Linked DNA regions of Anolis sagrei. The protein of the gene in region 1 purifies or fractionates together with the protein of each later gene. This does not show direct contact. Links are inferred from orthologs where the notes say so. Each region holds a gene or a part of one and is shown in the gene's direction. Other genes may lie near its edges. The genes, in order: POC1A and NUDC.

What was found.
Region 2: the proteins of POC1A (region 1) and NUDC purify together in Homo sapiens (co-immunoprecipitation; 3 studies listed by BioGRID and IntAct, with this or other methods). This does not show direct contact. The link is inferred for Anolis sagrei from reciprocal best matches to the Homo sapiens genes POC1A and NUDC.

Annotation. Positions count from the first base shown.
Region 1 is NC_090022.1:69,060,166-69,068,052, reverse strand, and holds the start of POC1A (POC1 centriolar protein homolog A), read left to right. Parts: upstream 1-4,633; 5' UTR 4,634-4,792; coding exon 4,793-4,810; intron 4,811-7,887.
Region 2 is NC_090034.1:72,669,069-72,676,637, forward strand, and holds the start of NUDC (nuclear migration protein nudC), read left to right. Parts: upstream 1-4,381; 5' UTR 4,382-4,488; coding exon 4,489-4,584; intron 4,585-7,569. UniProt on the Homo sapiens protein: Plays a role in neurogenesis and neuronal migration. Necessary for correct formation of mitotic spindles and chromosome separation during mitosis. Necessary for cytokinesis and cell proliferation.

The DNA of each region.
Region 1 (7,887 bases):
AAGTCATTGGAACTCATTGCATGATTCATAGGCAAATACTAGCAACAAAGACGCTGCCACAAGAGTTTCAGGAAGTCATGAAATGTGTAATAAGTTGTGTCAATTTTGTGAAGGGAAGTGGTTTAAATTGCAGACTATTTTCACAACTGTGCAGTGAGATGGATGCACCCAGCAATGTCCTCCTATTTCACACGGAAGCGAGATGGCTGTCCAGAGGAAAAGTTTTACGAGTTTATGAGCTTCGGGATGAACTCAAAGTGTTCTTTAACCAAAAAGCAAAACCACAGTTTGAAGCACTTTTCAGCGATCACAGTGAACTGCAAAAAATAGCTTACTTGGCTGATATTTTTGCCATCTTGAATGAATTAAATTTATCACTGCAAGGACCAAATGCTACAAGCCTTGATTTGTCAGAAAAGATCAAAACATTCCAACAGAAACTTCAGTTTTGGGGGAAAAAATTGTATGAAAATAAAATTTATATGCTGCCTACATTATGTGCTTTCTTTGAGGAAAATGATGTTGAACCAGAGGAAAGGATTACAATTATACCTTCTGTGAAAGAACATTTTCACATCCTTGCAGATGAAATTTCATATTATTTTCCAAATCTTCCTGACATCCCCTTTGCACTTGTCAGGAGCCCATTCTCCATCAACGTTGAAGATATTCCTGAGGCAGCACAAGAGGAATTCATTGAACTTATTAACAGTGACGCTGCAAAACCGATTTCTCTACCATGCCCATCACAAAATTCTGGATCAAGTGTTTGCAGTCATATCCCGTTCTGTCTGAGACTGTGTTGCGTCTTCTTGTTCCATTTCCAACAACATATCTTTGTGAACAAGGGTTTTCCAGCTTGTTGGATATCAAGTCTAAAAATAGAGGTAGACTTGTTGTGGAAGACGATCTCCGTTGTGCCCTTGCAAAGACTGCCCCAAGAATTTCTGATTTGGTGAGAAAGAAGCAAGCACAAGCTTCGCACTGATGTTGGCCTTATAATGCGTCCTGCTGGAAAATGTAGCAATGTGGTTTCCTGTTGTTATATTACTAGGTTATAATGTGAGTTGTATGTATGTTAAATCTGTTTGCTGTTATATTGAGACTGTTACCCATGCTATGACATGCTTCAAATCTAAATTTCATTTATTTGCAATTAGAAATAAATATTTCACAATATATAATTACATATTGTTTTTGTGATTAATCACTATGGTTTATGTTCACTTTGTAACAATGAAAATACACCTACATAACCGATATTTATATTGCGATTCTTAACAGTAGCAAATTAAGAGTTACAAAGTAGCAACACATATAATTTTATGGTTGGGGGTCACCACAACATGAGGAACTGTATTAAGGTGTCACAGCATTAGAAAGGTTGAGAACCACTGATCTAGACCAAACTTGGCACAAATATTCCATATGCCCAAATACAAACATAAATGGAGTTTGGGGAAAATAGACCCTGACATTTGGGAGTTGTAGTTATTGGGATTTATAGTTCACCTACAATCAAAGAGCATTCTGAACCTGCCCCTCCCCCAAATGAACTTCCCACACAGAACCCCCATGACCAACAGAAAATACTGTTTTCTGGGGGTTTTGGCGACCCTTCTGACATCCCTCTAGGATCCTGACCCCCACGTTGAGAAATGTTGCCTTAAGGCCATCCAGTCCGACTCCCTTTAGCAGGGCAAGAAAACAATCAAAAACCTTCCTGACAAAGAGCTATCCAGCCATAGATATAGAGATGATTCACACACATATATATATGTGACAGATATAATATCATAGATTTTAAAGGAACCCCTAAAGGGCAATTATATGTTGCATGTTCTAGAGTAGGCAAACCAATCGCACACTGACAGGTCTTGGGCCTGTCTGCGCCCAGGCACTCTCTTGATTTCCCCACAACAAAATCCAGACTTAAAAGTTTGAAGGTAACTGGTTGTTCCAAGGCAAGTGCCCCAAACTAAGCTTCTTCCCAACTGGAGGAAATTGAGAGACTTCCAGAGCAGCAGTTCTTAATATTCACTCATTGTACTGCAACTGCTTTCCAATTAGCTTTCTTTCCTTAAGAAGCCCTGCCATTGAAAACGGAAAATTAAGAAAATAGAGAAAAAGGGAACCACGCAATTGCTCCTGCCACACACAAAAACCATTTTTGCTAAGTTTCCTTCCTTGTTATAAAATATAATAACCTTCCCTTAATTAGAGCAGCTCTTCCCATAAATCTTTGTTTATTAACCAGAACTGGAGAATGCCTAAGCAATGGGAACTATTAAGCATCCCAGAACCCACCCCGACCCTCTCGCCCCATGAGCCAGTCACGTTGTGAAGCCAGCAGGCTGGAGCAGGGAAGAAAAGAGCGGGGGACTGTACCAACAGAATGGAAAAAAGGGGGTGTTTGGGGAGCAGGAGTGAGGGAAAGAGCTCTCCTCTCTCCTCCAAAGACTCCCCCGAATAGCCCAGTAGCACCAAGCCACCATGCTCCCCAGTGTTTTAGTCTGAAATCCAAAGATATCATCTAGTTTGATCAAACTGCTCCACCCAATGGGAAAACCCATCAGCCACCTCCCCCCACCGCCTGCTTCCCTTTGGAACCTTCCAAGCCCCAGTTTGCCACGAGGGCTAGGCTTCTGCTGCGGGGTTTCCATGGAGTTTGGCAGGGGCTGCCTGCAGGGATTAACTCTTCCCGCCCCAAAGAAAGAAAGAAAAGCAAACTAGTACAACAATATCCCAAATCCACAAAAGGGAAGCACCACAATGCAGAAAATGCCTTCCCTGTTGAAATTGTAAAATTATTTATCCTGTTTCATTGCCTTTTCACGGCCCTAATATTTATTATTTATTTATTTGCTGCATTTGTATACTGCCTTTCTCAGCCAATGGCGACTCAAGGCGGTTCACAGTACGCAGTGATTTGATGCTATAGGAATTATAAAAATACACTTAAAACAATTACAAAACATTTAAAATGTGATATAAAAAACAATACATCCTGTAAACACAAAATTCTCAGCGCCTCCTTACTAAAATCATTGTCCAATTGCATCAACGGGCGTTCCGTATATTCATTTTCATCTAGTTATGCTCCAGGTGAAAAAGCTTGCTTAACCATTTTGCAGAATGTTAGATGGGAGGGAGCTGATCTTATATCCCTGGGAAGGGTGTTCCATAGCCGAGGGGCCACCACCAAGAAGGCCCTGTCTCGTCCCCACCAAACGCATCTGTGAGGAAGGCAGGATCGAGAGCAGGGCCTCCCCAGACGATCTTAAAGCCCTATGGTTTATAAGGAGAGATACATTCGGATAGGTAAGCAGGCAAAAAACCCAGAAAAACTTCCTTGTACTTCAGATATTAAAGTAAAGGTAAAGGTTTCCCCTTGACATTAAGCCTAGTCGTGTCAGACTCTGCGGGGTGGTGCTCATCTCCATTTCTAAGCCGAAGAGCCGGCTTTGTCCATAGACGCCTCCAAGGTCATGCAGCCAGCATGACTGCATGGAGCACCGTTACCTTCCCACAGATCTCACATTTGCATGTTTTCGAACTGTTAGGTTGGCAGAAGCAGGGGCTATCAGTGGGAGCTCACCCCGCTCCCCGTTAACCTTTTGGTCAGCAAGTTTAGCAGCTCAGCAGTTTAACCCACTGCGCAGATACTATGCAACCATTAAAAAAGAAAAGAAAAAGAAGCAAAAAAAAATCAGACGCAAACACCAAAAACCTGCTTTACCATCAATATTTTTTTCCTTACCCCCTTCATGGATTATGTTTAAAATGAAAATACCAAGAAGTGTAATCGTGAAGGTCTTAAGGGAATACACAGAAACCAGCTATTTTCAATGATTCCAACCACGAGAGCCTTCAACAACACAAACCAGCAAATGCCAACACAAATATACAAAAAAGAAAGAAAAAAAAACATTCAGAGTCAGTCCCACCGAGGCTCCTTCCACACAGCCATATAACTCAGAATATCAAGGTAGATAATCCCCAATATCTGGTTTGAACTGGGTTATCTGAGTCCACACTCACATAAGGTGGGATTTTCTGCCTTGATATTCTAGGATATAGGGCTGTGTGGAAGGGCCCAGAGGCTCCTTCCACAGACATATAACCCAGAATATCAAGGCAGATAATCCACAATATCTACTTTGAACTGGGTTATCTGAGTCCACACTGCCATACAACCCAGTTCAGAGCAAGTAATATAGGATTTTGTATAGCTGTGTGAAAGGGGCCTAGAGGCTCCTTCTGCACTGCCATATAATCCAGATTATCAAAGCAGAAAATCCATAACGTTTGTTTTGAACTGGATTTTATGAGTGTACACTTCTATATAATCCAGCTCAAAGAAGATAATCTAGATTGTATATGGCAGTGTTGAAGGGGCCTCAGTGGCTGAGGGGGGAAAGGAAGGGGCCTGAGGCTGTGAGGAATGGTGGGAGTTGAAGTCCAAAACCCCTGGAGGGCCCAAGTTTGCTCATATCTGCTTTCTTGTATTTGGAAATTTCTCAATCATGATGAGAAAAGGCGTCCTGGGCATACTTTCCAAGAACAGGAAGTCGCCCCCACTTCCCTCCCTCCCTCGCTTCCTGCCGGATTCCCTCTCTTCTTCCCGCGCTTTTCTTTTCTTGTCGGAGGGCAACATTTCTGGCCTTCCCCGCCGCCTCCCCTTTAAGCGCAGGACGCCGTTACTAAGGCGGAGGGCAGGGCGCGCAAACTGAATCCGTCCGGCGGCAACAATCGCGGCGAGGCTTCGTTCCGCTGGGACTCTTTCGGCAACATGGCGTTTTCTTGCTTGGTAAGGGCAGAAGGGGGGAAACGGGGGAAGGAGAAGCTGGCCCCACTGGCAACAGGGCTTGGAAATGGCAAGGCAGGGGAGTGGAGTGGGAGAAGAGCCGGGGGGAGGCCTGACTAAGTCCCTCCCCTTTGCTGCCTGGGAGTTGTAACTTCTCAGGCCCCTTCCACACATGATCTGCTTTGAGCTGGAATATATAGCAGTGTGGACTCAGATAACCCAGTTCAAAGCAGATATTGTGGGATTTTCTGCCTTGATATTCTGGATTATATGGCTGTGTGGAAGGGCCCTCACAGAGGAGGAAGAGAGGTGCAAGGGAGAACCAGAGAGTCATTTGGAAAGGAAGAGTTTATTAGTTTGGGAAACATACCTTTCACATGTATTTATATCCCGCATTCTCTATCTCAAAAGAGACTCGGTGCCCTTCCACACAGCCATAAAACCCAGAATATAAAGGCAGAAAATCCCACATTAAGTGTGGACACAGATAACCCAGTTCAACTATGTGCTATGCTAATAATATAATATTTATAATTTTTTTTGTCGTGTCAGGAGCGACTTGAGAGACTGCAAGTCGCTTCTGGTGTGAGAGAATTGGCCATCTGCAAGGGCCAATTCTCTCACACCAGGGTTGGCTTGACACGCCTTCCTATTGGCACCCTCCATAGGTGCCTCTTCAAATTCCACGGCATTGCTGGTCACAACTGACCTCCAGTTAGAATGCTCAGGGGCCAGGGCTTCTCAGTTCTCGGTGTCTATGCCACAGTTTTTAAGGTTAGCTTTAAGCCCATCTTTAAATCTCTTTTCCTATCCACCAACATTTATTTATTTATATATATACACCGCTTTTCTCAGCCCTCAGGCAACTCAAAGTGGTGAACTACATCAATACAAAACATCACGAGACAAGTATAGGGCAATTAAAAACAATTGTAACATAAATCATTAAACATCCGTATAACAATCATTAGCGCCTCAACAGTAAAATCGGAATCCAGTCTCGTTATCCATTATTCCGTATTCCTATGTTCAATTATACTGTTTAATCAAATGCTTGTTCGAACAGCTCCTCCGAAACCCCAGCAGGAAGGGGGCCAATCTGATATCTGCAGTCAGGGCATTCCACAGCCGAGGGGCCACCACTGAGAAGGCCCTGTCTCTTGTCCCTGCCAAGCGCACCTGTGATGCAGGCGGGACAGAGTGCAGGGCCTCTCCAGATGATCTTAGTGTCCTAGCCGGTTCATAGGAGGAGATGCGTTCGGAGAGGTAAGTAGGGCCAGAACCGTTTAGGGCTTTCTGTTTTCTGTTCTTGAATTGGGAGTATAGAAGCTGCTTCAGGCATTCGGACAATGTAGCTAGTCCAGCTGAGTTGATGGAAAAAGGACCATCTCTTCAATGCTGGTGGTCTTTGTTTCTTCCAGCACACTGGCATTTGTCCACCTGCCTTCCCAAGAGATTTGCATGATTTTTCAGAGGCAATGCTGATGGACTTGTTCCAGGAGTTGAGTGTGACTTCTGTAGACAGTCCACATTTTGCAGGCATATAACAGGGTTGGGAGGACAATAACTTTATAAATAAACACCTTGGTCTCCCTACGGATGTTCCGATCCTCTAACACTCTCTGCTTCATTAGGAAAAATGCTGCACTCACAGAGCTCAGGCGGTGTTGTATTTCAGTGTCAATGCTGACGTTTGTGCAGAGGTGGCTGTCAAGGTAGCAGAAATGGTCAAAGTAGATATTGTGCGATTTTATTCAGCTGTGCGGAAGAGGCCTAATCAAAGCATCCAAAACGCAGTCCTCTCCTTTCTCTTTAGTATTAAGTTCAGCTAACTTTTTCTCATAGTTTTCTTAGCTGACCAACGTAATGTGCAGGCCTCTTTGAAGGCCAGAATAGAAATAAATACTCAGGCCTCTGCCACACAGCTGTATAAAATCCACACTGAACTGGCAGTGTACACTCAGATAACCCAGGGCCCTTTCACACAGCCATATAGCCCAGAACATCAAGGCAGAAAATCCAAAAATACCTGCTTTGAACTGGGTGATCTGAATCCACACTGCCATATATTCCAGTTCAAAGCAGATATTGTGAATGATCTGCCTTGATATTCTGGGTAATATGGCTGTGTAGAAGGGCCCTCAGTTGGATGTGGCTGGGAATCATGCAAAAACCCATGACCCTTCTACACTGCCATATAAAATCCAGATTATCTGCTTTGAACTGGATTATATGACAGTGTAGAAGGGCCATGAGTTCATGTGCAATTTGTGCAGTTAGTCTCTGCTTACATTTACATGTTTTCGAACTGCTAGGTTGGCAGAAATGGAGCCTAAAAGCGGGAGCTCACCCCGCTCCCTGGATTTGAACCCCCAGTCTTTCAGTCAGCAAGTTCAGCAGCTAGCAGTGTCCCTAGAAGACATAACTAACCTAAAATCAAAATGGTTAGGATGTATTTCATTATAACTAATTTCTGTATGGTAACTGTTACTTTCTGGACTAGATATCAGAAACTTGAGAAACAGCTTTCCAGGAAATAAATGATTGATTAGGAACTCATGTCTCCTATGTAGTCTATATAGCAGTGATATTTCTCTTACAGGTGTTAAATGTATGTATTATTTAGGTTTTTAAATACTCCCCCCCCCCCCCCAGTGTTTCATAATCAGTCTGGTTCTGTATATCAGGGCAGAGATAAAACATTATGGAAGGCACAGAACTACTTCTGGAAATATATAAGCATCCCTTCAGTTATTCATGGACTTTAGAATGGGAAACATGCTATTCAAATTAATGCTGATATTCTTCAGACAAATTTTGCATGCTGTATGGAATTTCGCAAAATTCCAAACATACAGCAGCCATATAGATTGTATCTTCCCTAAGAATGGCTTGCATGTAACAGTTGTAAGCATGTGTCTAAAAAGTGTGGCCAGGAAATATTGTATTTTTTCATCTGTGTTGTTTTCTGAAATACCTGATCATCTTCAAAGCCAATTGTAGTTCCAACATCAGTGAAAGCATGGCAGAAAAAGAGACACAGGATGCATCTATGCTATAGAAGTAATGTAGTTTGGCAC
Region 2 (7,569 bases), on another chromosome or scaffold:
ACTAATGAGGTCGAACCCAGAACTCCCTGCCTTCAAGCTGATCTGACCTGCAGCAGGGAGTTTCTCAGTTCTCCATTGCCCCGCTTGGGCCAATCTGTATGAACGTGGCCACAGCAGCAGCTGCAAATCAGGAGCCTTATTACTTCGCTTTCTTGCCCCTTCTAACATTATAACTAACCCCCCAATAAAAGTATCAATTAATTGTAATCTTTTTCCTCTCCACAGTGTTACTTTGTGTCCTTTTATTGCCTCTAACCTCTCTCCGCATGAACCTTTCCTCTCCCAGACTGCAGATCGCTGCCGGTCCGCCCGGGATGCGAACCTGGCCACTTGTCAACAATGGGACATCCTGCCTTCAGGGAAGATCAAGATGTCCCATCCACCACTCTCATTGTCTTTGCCCCTTGGAATGAAACCCACACACAGATAGCATCAATCAATCCCATATCTGAGACAGAAGGATATCAAGGCTTGGCAGCAGTTCCAGCCACTTTTGCATGTTTCAACCTCTCAGGACAATACAAGGCCAGCTTGAGGAATCTCCGGATTATCGCCGGCTATCGGACAACACATTAAACCACAATAATCCAATCATTTTTCCTCTCGGTTCATTGTTTTCCCACTTGTACTGCTTCCTTGACTCCCATTGGCTCAGGAGCCGGAGCGGCGCTGGCTTCCCCATTGGCTGAGGGCGCTCAGGGGTGGCTCAACCCATTACGCAAAGTAAGCATTTGCAGTATAGATTATTTTGGCCAGGGGCGCTCTTGAGGCGCTCTTGGGGGAAAATAGACCTATGAGAGTTGTAGTTACTGGGATGTATAGTTCACCTACAATCAAAGAGCATTCTGAACTCCACCAATGATGGAATTGAACCAAATATGGCACACAGAACTCCCACGACGAACAGAAAATATATATCAGTGATTGGTTGGGGGGGGGGGGCGCCAAAACACTGTTTGCCACCTCTGGCTGCGCCTCCCTCCAGCAGATGACACCAACCAATCAGCGCAAAGCCGGCAGAGGGGCGGGGGGCGAGAAGTTTGAATCTGACAATCTGTATTTTCTATAAAATGTACCCTTTTCTCCCTTGCCAAACATGTCAACTTTGGCAAGAAATTGTGGTTTGACATCCGTACCAGCTGGGACGAAATAAAGACAACTCGGTGGCTTTTCTTCAACTTGGTGAGACTTTTATTGGGAAAAAATAGGAAAAATCTTGGGTGCTTTCTTTGTCTCGCCAGGGCTCCGGACTCTCCTTGGTGAGTCTGATTGGTCTTTGCCTCCTGGCAAAGACCCCTAAATTCTTGCTCAATATCACTTTGACCTGAGTAAATGGATACATAATGGTCGTGTGTATATGGCATTCTCTGTGTTAATGGCTCAGTCTGAGATGACATCTAAATAAAAGAGTAAAATATAATCCCAAGTACACACATCTGGATTCTTAAATACTTTCTTAGTGGAATAACAAATTGGAGAGAATTTAGGATGACACAACCAACATTTTTATCTTTCACTGCATGCTCTTCTAAAATCAAAACTAATTTTCAGCCAGATTGTGTCTGATACTATAAACATACAACCGTAAGATTTGACAAATGGTCATGGTCCCCACCCTTTTTTCTCAGAGAGTGCCATCTAACAGCTAATTTCTTATGGAAGCTTTGCCAGGAAATATAAATACAGGCACCAAATGCAAGTTTCATTCGCCTTGAAAAAAAATTCATGCATGACACTGCACAACAGGCGGCTGCTAGACAATAAAAAGTGTGCCTTGCCTCTCTCCCTCCAGGGCTGTTTTCTTTAATTGAGCAGAACAACACAAAACCTGTTTCTAGAAATGCACTATTCTTATTCTTTTTCTTCAGCATTTGTCCTGCTTGATGGCGGGGTTTGCTTTACAAGTTTACTGGCACCATTTCACCTGATCGTGCGCCTGATCAGGGTGTATGCCAGTACTCTTCAGATGGTTGTACAATGTGTCCAGCCAGCATTGCTTCAGTAGTCAGAAAAGCACCCACCTTGTCCACCTTCCGTAAGGACTTAAAAACTTGGATGTTCCGTCGCGCCTTTGATTAGGCAACTGGCTCGACCCTATCTAAGCTCCTGCAGTTTAGTTTGGCCTACCCCCACTAATCTCGACACTTTATTGCCAAAGGTATTCCCTCTAGATTGGCACATTTGAATTTTTGCACTTTCCCTCAGCTCTACTTAGGAATTCGCTGCACTTACTTGAGCTCTGATTCTGTTTCCAGCCATGATATTGTTTCTATGATGTTGTTGTTGTGACTGTGTTATGTTTTTATTTGATTGATTTTAATGCTGTTGTTTTTATCTGTGATTTTTGGGCTTGTCCCCATGTAAGCTGCCCTGAGTTACCTTGGGGAGATGGTGGCGGGGTATAGAAATAATTTTTTTTATTATTATTATTTAAAACACAACAAGTTGAGGCCACAACAAACAAAATCACTCTGCTGGCTGTTGTATTGGATCACACATCGGGCACTTCGCAAGTGTCTAGGACTGTGTGATGTATCGGCAAATAATAGGTGTAGATCCCAGTAAGGTAGCCTTTTGCAGCTGACAGATGGTAATTTTGTCAGCACCAATTGTTTTTGAGTGCAGGCCAGGGTCTTTAGGCACTACACCCAGTGTGCCGATCACCACTGGGACCACCTTTACTGGTTTGTGCCAGAGTCTTTGCAGTTTGATTATATTATTATTATTATTATTATTATCATCATCATCATCATCATGATTATTGTATTGTCAAAGGCTTTCATGGCTGGAATCACTGGGTCGTTGTAGGCTTTTCGGCTAGAGAGAATGTTCTAGAAGCATTCTCTCCTGATGTTTCACCTGCATCTATGGCAAGCATCCTCAGAGGTTGTGAGGTCAAGGTCTTTAGGCACTGCACCCAGTGTGCCGATCACTACTGGGACCACCTTTACTGGCTTGTGCCAGAGTCTTTGCAGTTTGATTATATTATTGTTATCATTATTATTGTATTGTCAAAGGCTTTCATGGCTGGAATCACTGGGTTGCTGTAGGCTTTTCGGCTAGAGAGAATGTTCTAGAACAGTGGTTCTAAACCTGGGGTCCCCAGATGTTTTTGGCCTACAACTCCCAGAAATCCCAGCCAGTTTAACAGATTTTAGGATTTCTGGGAGTTGAAGGCCAAAAACATCTAGGGATCGTAGGTTGAGAACCACTGTTCTAGAAGCATTCTCTCCTGACGTTTCGCCTGCATCTATGTCAAGCATCCTCAGAGGTTGTGAGGTCAAGGTCTTTAGGCACTGCACCCAGTGTGCCGATCACCACTGGGACCACCTTTACTAGTTTGTGCCAGTCTTTGCAGTTCGATCTTTAAATCCTCATATCATGACAGCTTTTCCAGTTGTTACTCTTCAATCCTGCTGTCGCCTGGGATTGCAACATCAACGATCCATACTTTGTTGTTGTTTATTATTTGGTCTCTTGCCAGGCATTTCTAAATCAAGAGCTGTCTTGCAAATGAATTTGACTTCACCTCGGCGAGTATGACCATATCAAGTTTCTATACCAGTGTTTCTCAACCTGGGGGTCGGGACCCCTGGGGGGGTCGCGAAGGGGTGTCAGAGGGGTCGCCAAAGACCATCAGAAAATACAGTATTTTCTGTTGGTCATGGGGGTTCTGTGTGGGAAGTTTGGCCCAATTCATTGTTGGGGTTCAGAACACTCCTTGATTGTAGGTGAACTATAAATCCCAGCAAGTACAACTCCCAAATGTCAAAGTCTATTTTCCCCAAACCCCATCAGTGTTCACATTTGGGCATATTGAGTATCCGTGACAAGTTTGGTCCAGATCCATCATTGTTTGAGCCCACAGGCCCTTTCCTGTTCCTTTTCCCTTTCCTTTTTCTGCTTAAGCGGCTAAGGGGGAAAAGGAAAGGGCCTGGGGCTGTTAGGAATTGTGGGAGTTGGAGTCCAAAACACCTGGAAGGAGGGCCCAAGTTGGCCCAGGCCTGCTATATAGCCAATTTCAATTCACTAGGTTCTTGTGGGTTTTTTCGGGCTATAGAGCCATGTTCTAGAGGCATTTCTCCTGACGTTTCGCCTGCATCTATGGCAAGCATCCTCAGAGGTTGTGAGGTGGCTCTATAGCCCGAAAAAACCCACAAGAACCTAGTGATTCCAGCCATGAAAGCCTTCGACAATACAATTTCAATTCAATTCTAGCACTTCCTATCGGCCCTTACAGAAGAGGCTTCGTAACCATAGCAACGGACGCCACACCACGAGGCCCAACGGACAGCCCGCTGACTTCCTCCGAGCCCTGATTGGAAGGCCCGCCTGCCAATTAAGCTCTCCCGGTCGGCGATTGGCCAGAAGCAACAGGAAGGGGTTGGACAAGGCCTTCGCTTCCTGTTCCTGAGGCAGTGCGGGCCGTGCGTGTCAGAGGCTCTCCGTCGCCTGTGGTGAAAGATTTCGGAGCGAAGAGGAGGCGAGATGGGCGCCAGCGGGGAAGAGGCGGCTGAGAGTGAGGAGCGCTTCGACGGCATGTTGCTGGCTATGGCGCAGCAGCACCCGGGCGGCGTGAGGGAGGTGAGAGGCCGGGCAGGGCGAAGAGGGCCTTCCTCCTTCCCTCCCTTCCGGAGAGACAGGGTCTCCTCTCAGGCCCTGCTGACCATTGTATCCCCCTGGACCGCCTCGCGGGAATGGGACTGGGAAGCACTGTTTTCCAGTGGCTTCGACCCTTCTTGGAGGGGGATTCTTGTTCGACCCATAACCGTTGACCTGTGGGGACCTGAGTTATTTATTTATCGTGTCATCAGCAACCATACCATTGTGTTACAATTCTAACAGAACAAAACAAATACACAGATTAAAAAGAAAAGAAAAAAACACAGATTTTGCAATTTTGGTAGTTGGTTAAATGTCCTTTGACCAGTATCTGGCCACTTGGAGTGCTTCTGGTGTTGCCGCAAGAAGGTCCTCCATTGTGCATGTGGCAGGGCTCAGGGTGCATTGCAGCAGGTGGTCAGTGGTTTGTTCTCCACACTCGCATGCCGAGGATTCCACTTTGTAGCCCCATTTCTTAAGATTGGCTCTGCATCTTGTGGTGCCAGAGCGCAGTCTGTTCAGCGCCTTCAAAGTCTCCCAGTCTTCTGTGTGCCCAGGGGGGAGTCTCTCATCTGGTATCACCCATGGATTGAGGTGCTGGGTTTGAGCCTGCCACTTTTGGACTCTCGCTTGCTGGGGTGTTCCAGTGAGTGTCCCTGTAGATCTAAGAAAACTATTTCTTCATTTAAGTCGTTGGCGTGCTGGCTGATACCCAAACGGGATGAGCTGGAGATGTCTCTGCCTTGGTCCTTTCACTATTGGCTGCTACTTCCCGGCGGATGTCAGGTGGTGCAATACCGGCTAAGCAGTGTAATTTCTCCAGTGGTGTAGGGCGCAGACACCCTGTGATAATGCGGCATGTCTCATTAAGAGCCACATCTACTGTTTTAGTGTGGTGAGATGTGTTCCACACTGGGCATGCATACTCAGCAGCAGAGTAGCATAGCGCAAGGGCAGATGTCTTCACTGTGTCTGGTTGTGATCCCCAGGTTGTGCCAGTCAGCTTTCGTATGATGTTGTTTCTAGCGCCCACTTTTTGCTTGATGTTCAGGCAGTGCTTCTTGTAGGTCAGAGCACGGTCCAAAGTGACTCCCAGGTATTTGGGTGCGCTGCAATGCTCCAGTGGGATCCCTTCCCAGGTAATCCTCAGAGCTCGGGATGCTTGTCTGTTCTTAAGGTGAAAGGCGCATGTCTGTGTTTTAGATGGATTAGGGATCTGTTGCTTTTCCCTGTAATAGGCAGTAAGAGCACCTAGAGCTTCAGAGAGCTTCTGTTCAACCATCTCAAAGTTCCTTGCTTGAGCGGTGATGGCACAATCATCAGCATAGATGAAACTCTCTGTCCCTTCTGGCAGTGGCTGGTCATTTGTGTAGATGTTGAACATGGATGGAGCAAGGACGCTCCCCTGAGGCAGGCCGCTCTTCTGTTTCCGCCATCTGCTTCTCTGGCCCTGGAACTCAACAAAGAAGCTCCTGTTTTGTAGCAGGTTTCCTATGAGGCGGGTGAGGTGGTAGTCCTTTGTGATATTATACATTTTTCTCAGGAGGAGGCGGTGGTTCACAGTATCATAGGCTGCTGACAAGTCAATGAAGACAGATCCAGAAGCAACCAGGGGACCTGAGTAAACCGCAGGGTTCAGGACTGTCCCCCATGTTATTTATGTGACCCTCCAGCTTTTTTGTGCCACCAAGTCCCATAATTCCTGGCTACTGAACAAGCTGGCAAAAGCTCCTGGGAGTTGGAGGCCCAAACACCTGGAGGGTCGCAGTTTGAGGATCTCTGACTATATAGTGTACTTTCAAACTTCATAATAATCTATATATATATAAATGCTCTGTGCATAATGAGTACCTTAAAAACAAAAGAACCAGTGAATGAAATCACACCAAATTTGGCAACAAAATGTCTCACAACACAAGGAGTGACCATCGCTCAAAAAAAATGGTTTTATTTATTTATTTATTTATTTATTTAAAAGTTTTGTATACCGACCTTCTCACCTCTCTTGAGGGACTCAGACCGGTTTCCAACCATAATATCACATACAATCAATAAAACATCATAATACATGTTACAGTAAAACATTAAAACAGCAATTACAGTCAATAACTATAATGGTCAGTCGTCATACTAAAATCGTTGATCATCATCCTCCATCCATATCTCAGGGTATTGGCTCACTCGTCGAATGCCTGTCTCCATAACCAAGTCTTCACCTGTTTCCTAAATGTCAGGATAGAAGGGGCGGTTCTGATCTCCAGTGGGAGAGAGTTCCAGAGTCGAGAGGCCACCACCGAGAAGGCCCTGTCCCTCGTTCTCACCAGACGCACTTACGAGGCTGGTGGGACCGAGAGCAGGGCCTCTCCAGACGATCTTAATAATCTTGATGGTTTTGTCATTTGGAAGTTGTAGTTGCTGGGATTTATAGTTCACCTATAATCAAAGAGCATTCTGAACTCCACCAACGATGTGATTAAATCAAACTTGGCACACAGGACTCCCCTGACCAGCAGAAAACACTAGAAGGGTTTGGTGGGCATTGACCTTGAGTTTTGGAGTTGGAGCTCACCTACATCTAGAGAGCACTGTGGACTCAAACAATGATGGATCTGGACCAAACTTGGCACGAATACTCAATACGCCCAAATATAATCACAGATGGACTAGGTTTATCATTCACCTACAATCAAGGAGCATTCTGAACCCCACCAACGACAGAATTGGGAGAAACTTCCCACACAGAAACCCCATGACCAACAGAAAATACTGTATTTTCTGGTGGTCTTTGGTGACCTTTCTGACACCCCTCGCAACCCCCCCCCCCCGGGGCCCCAAACCCAAGGTTGAGAAATACTGCCTTAAGGCCATCCAGTCCAACTCCCTTCACCAGGGCAAGAAAACATAAAGCCCTCCTGACAGAGAGCCATCCAGCCATAGGTATAGATAAATATATATGATTCTCACACA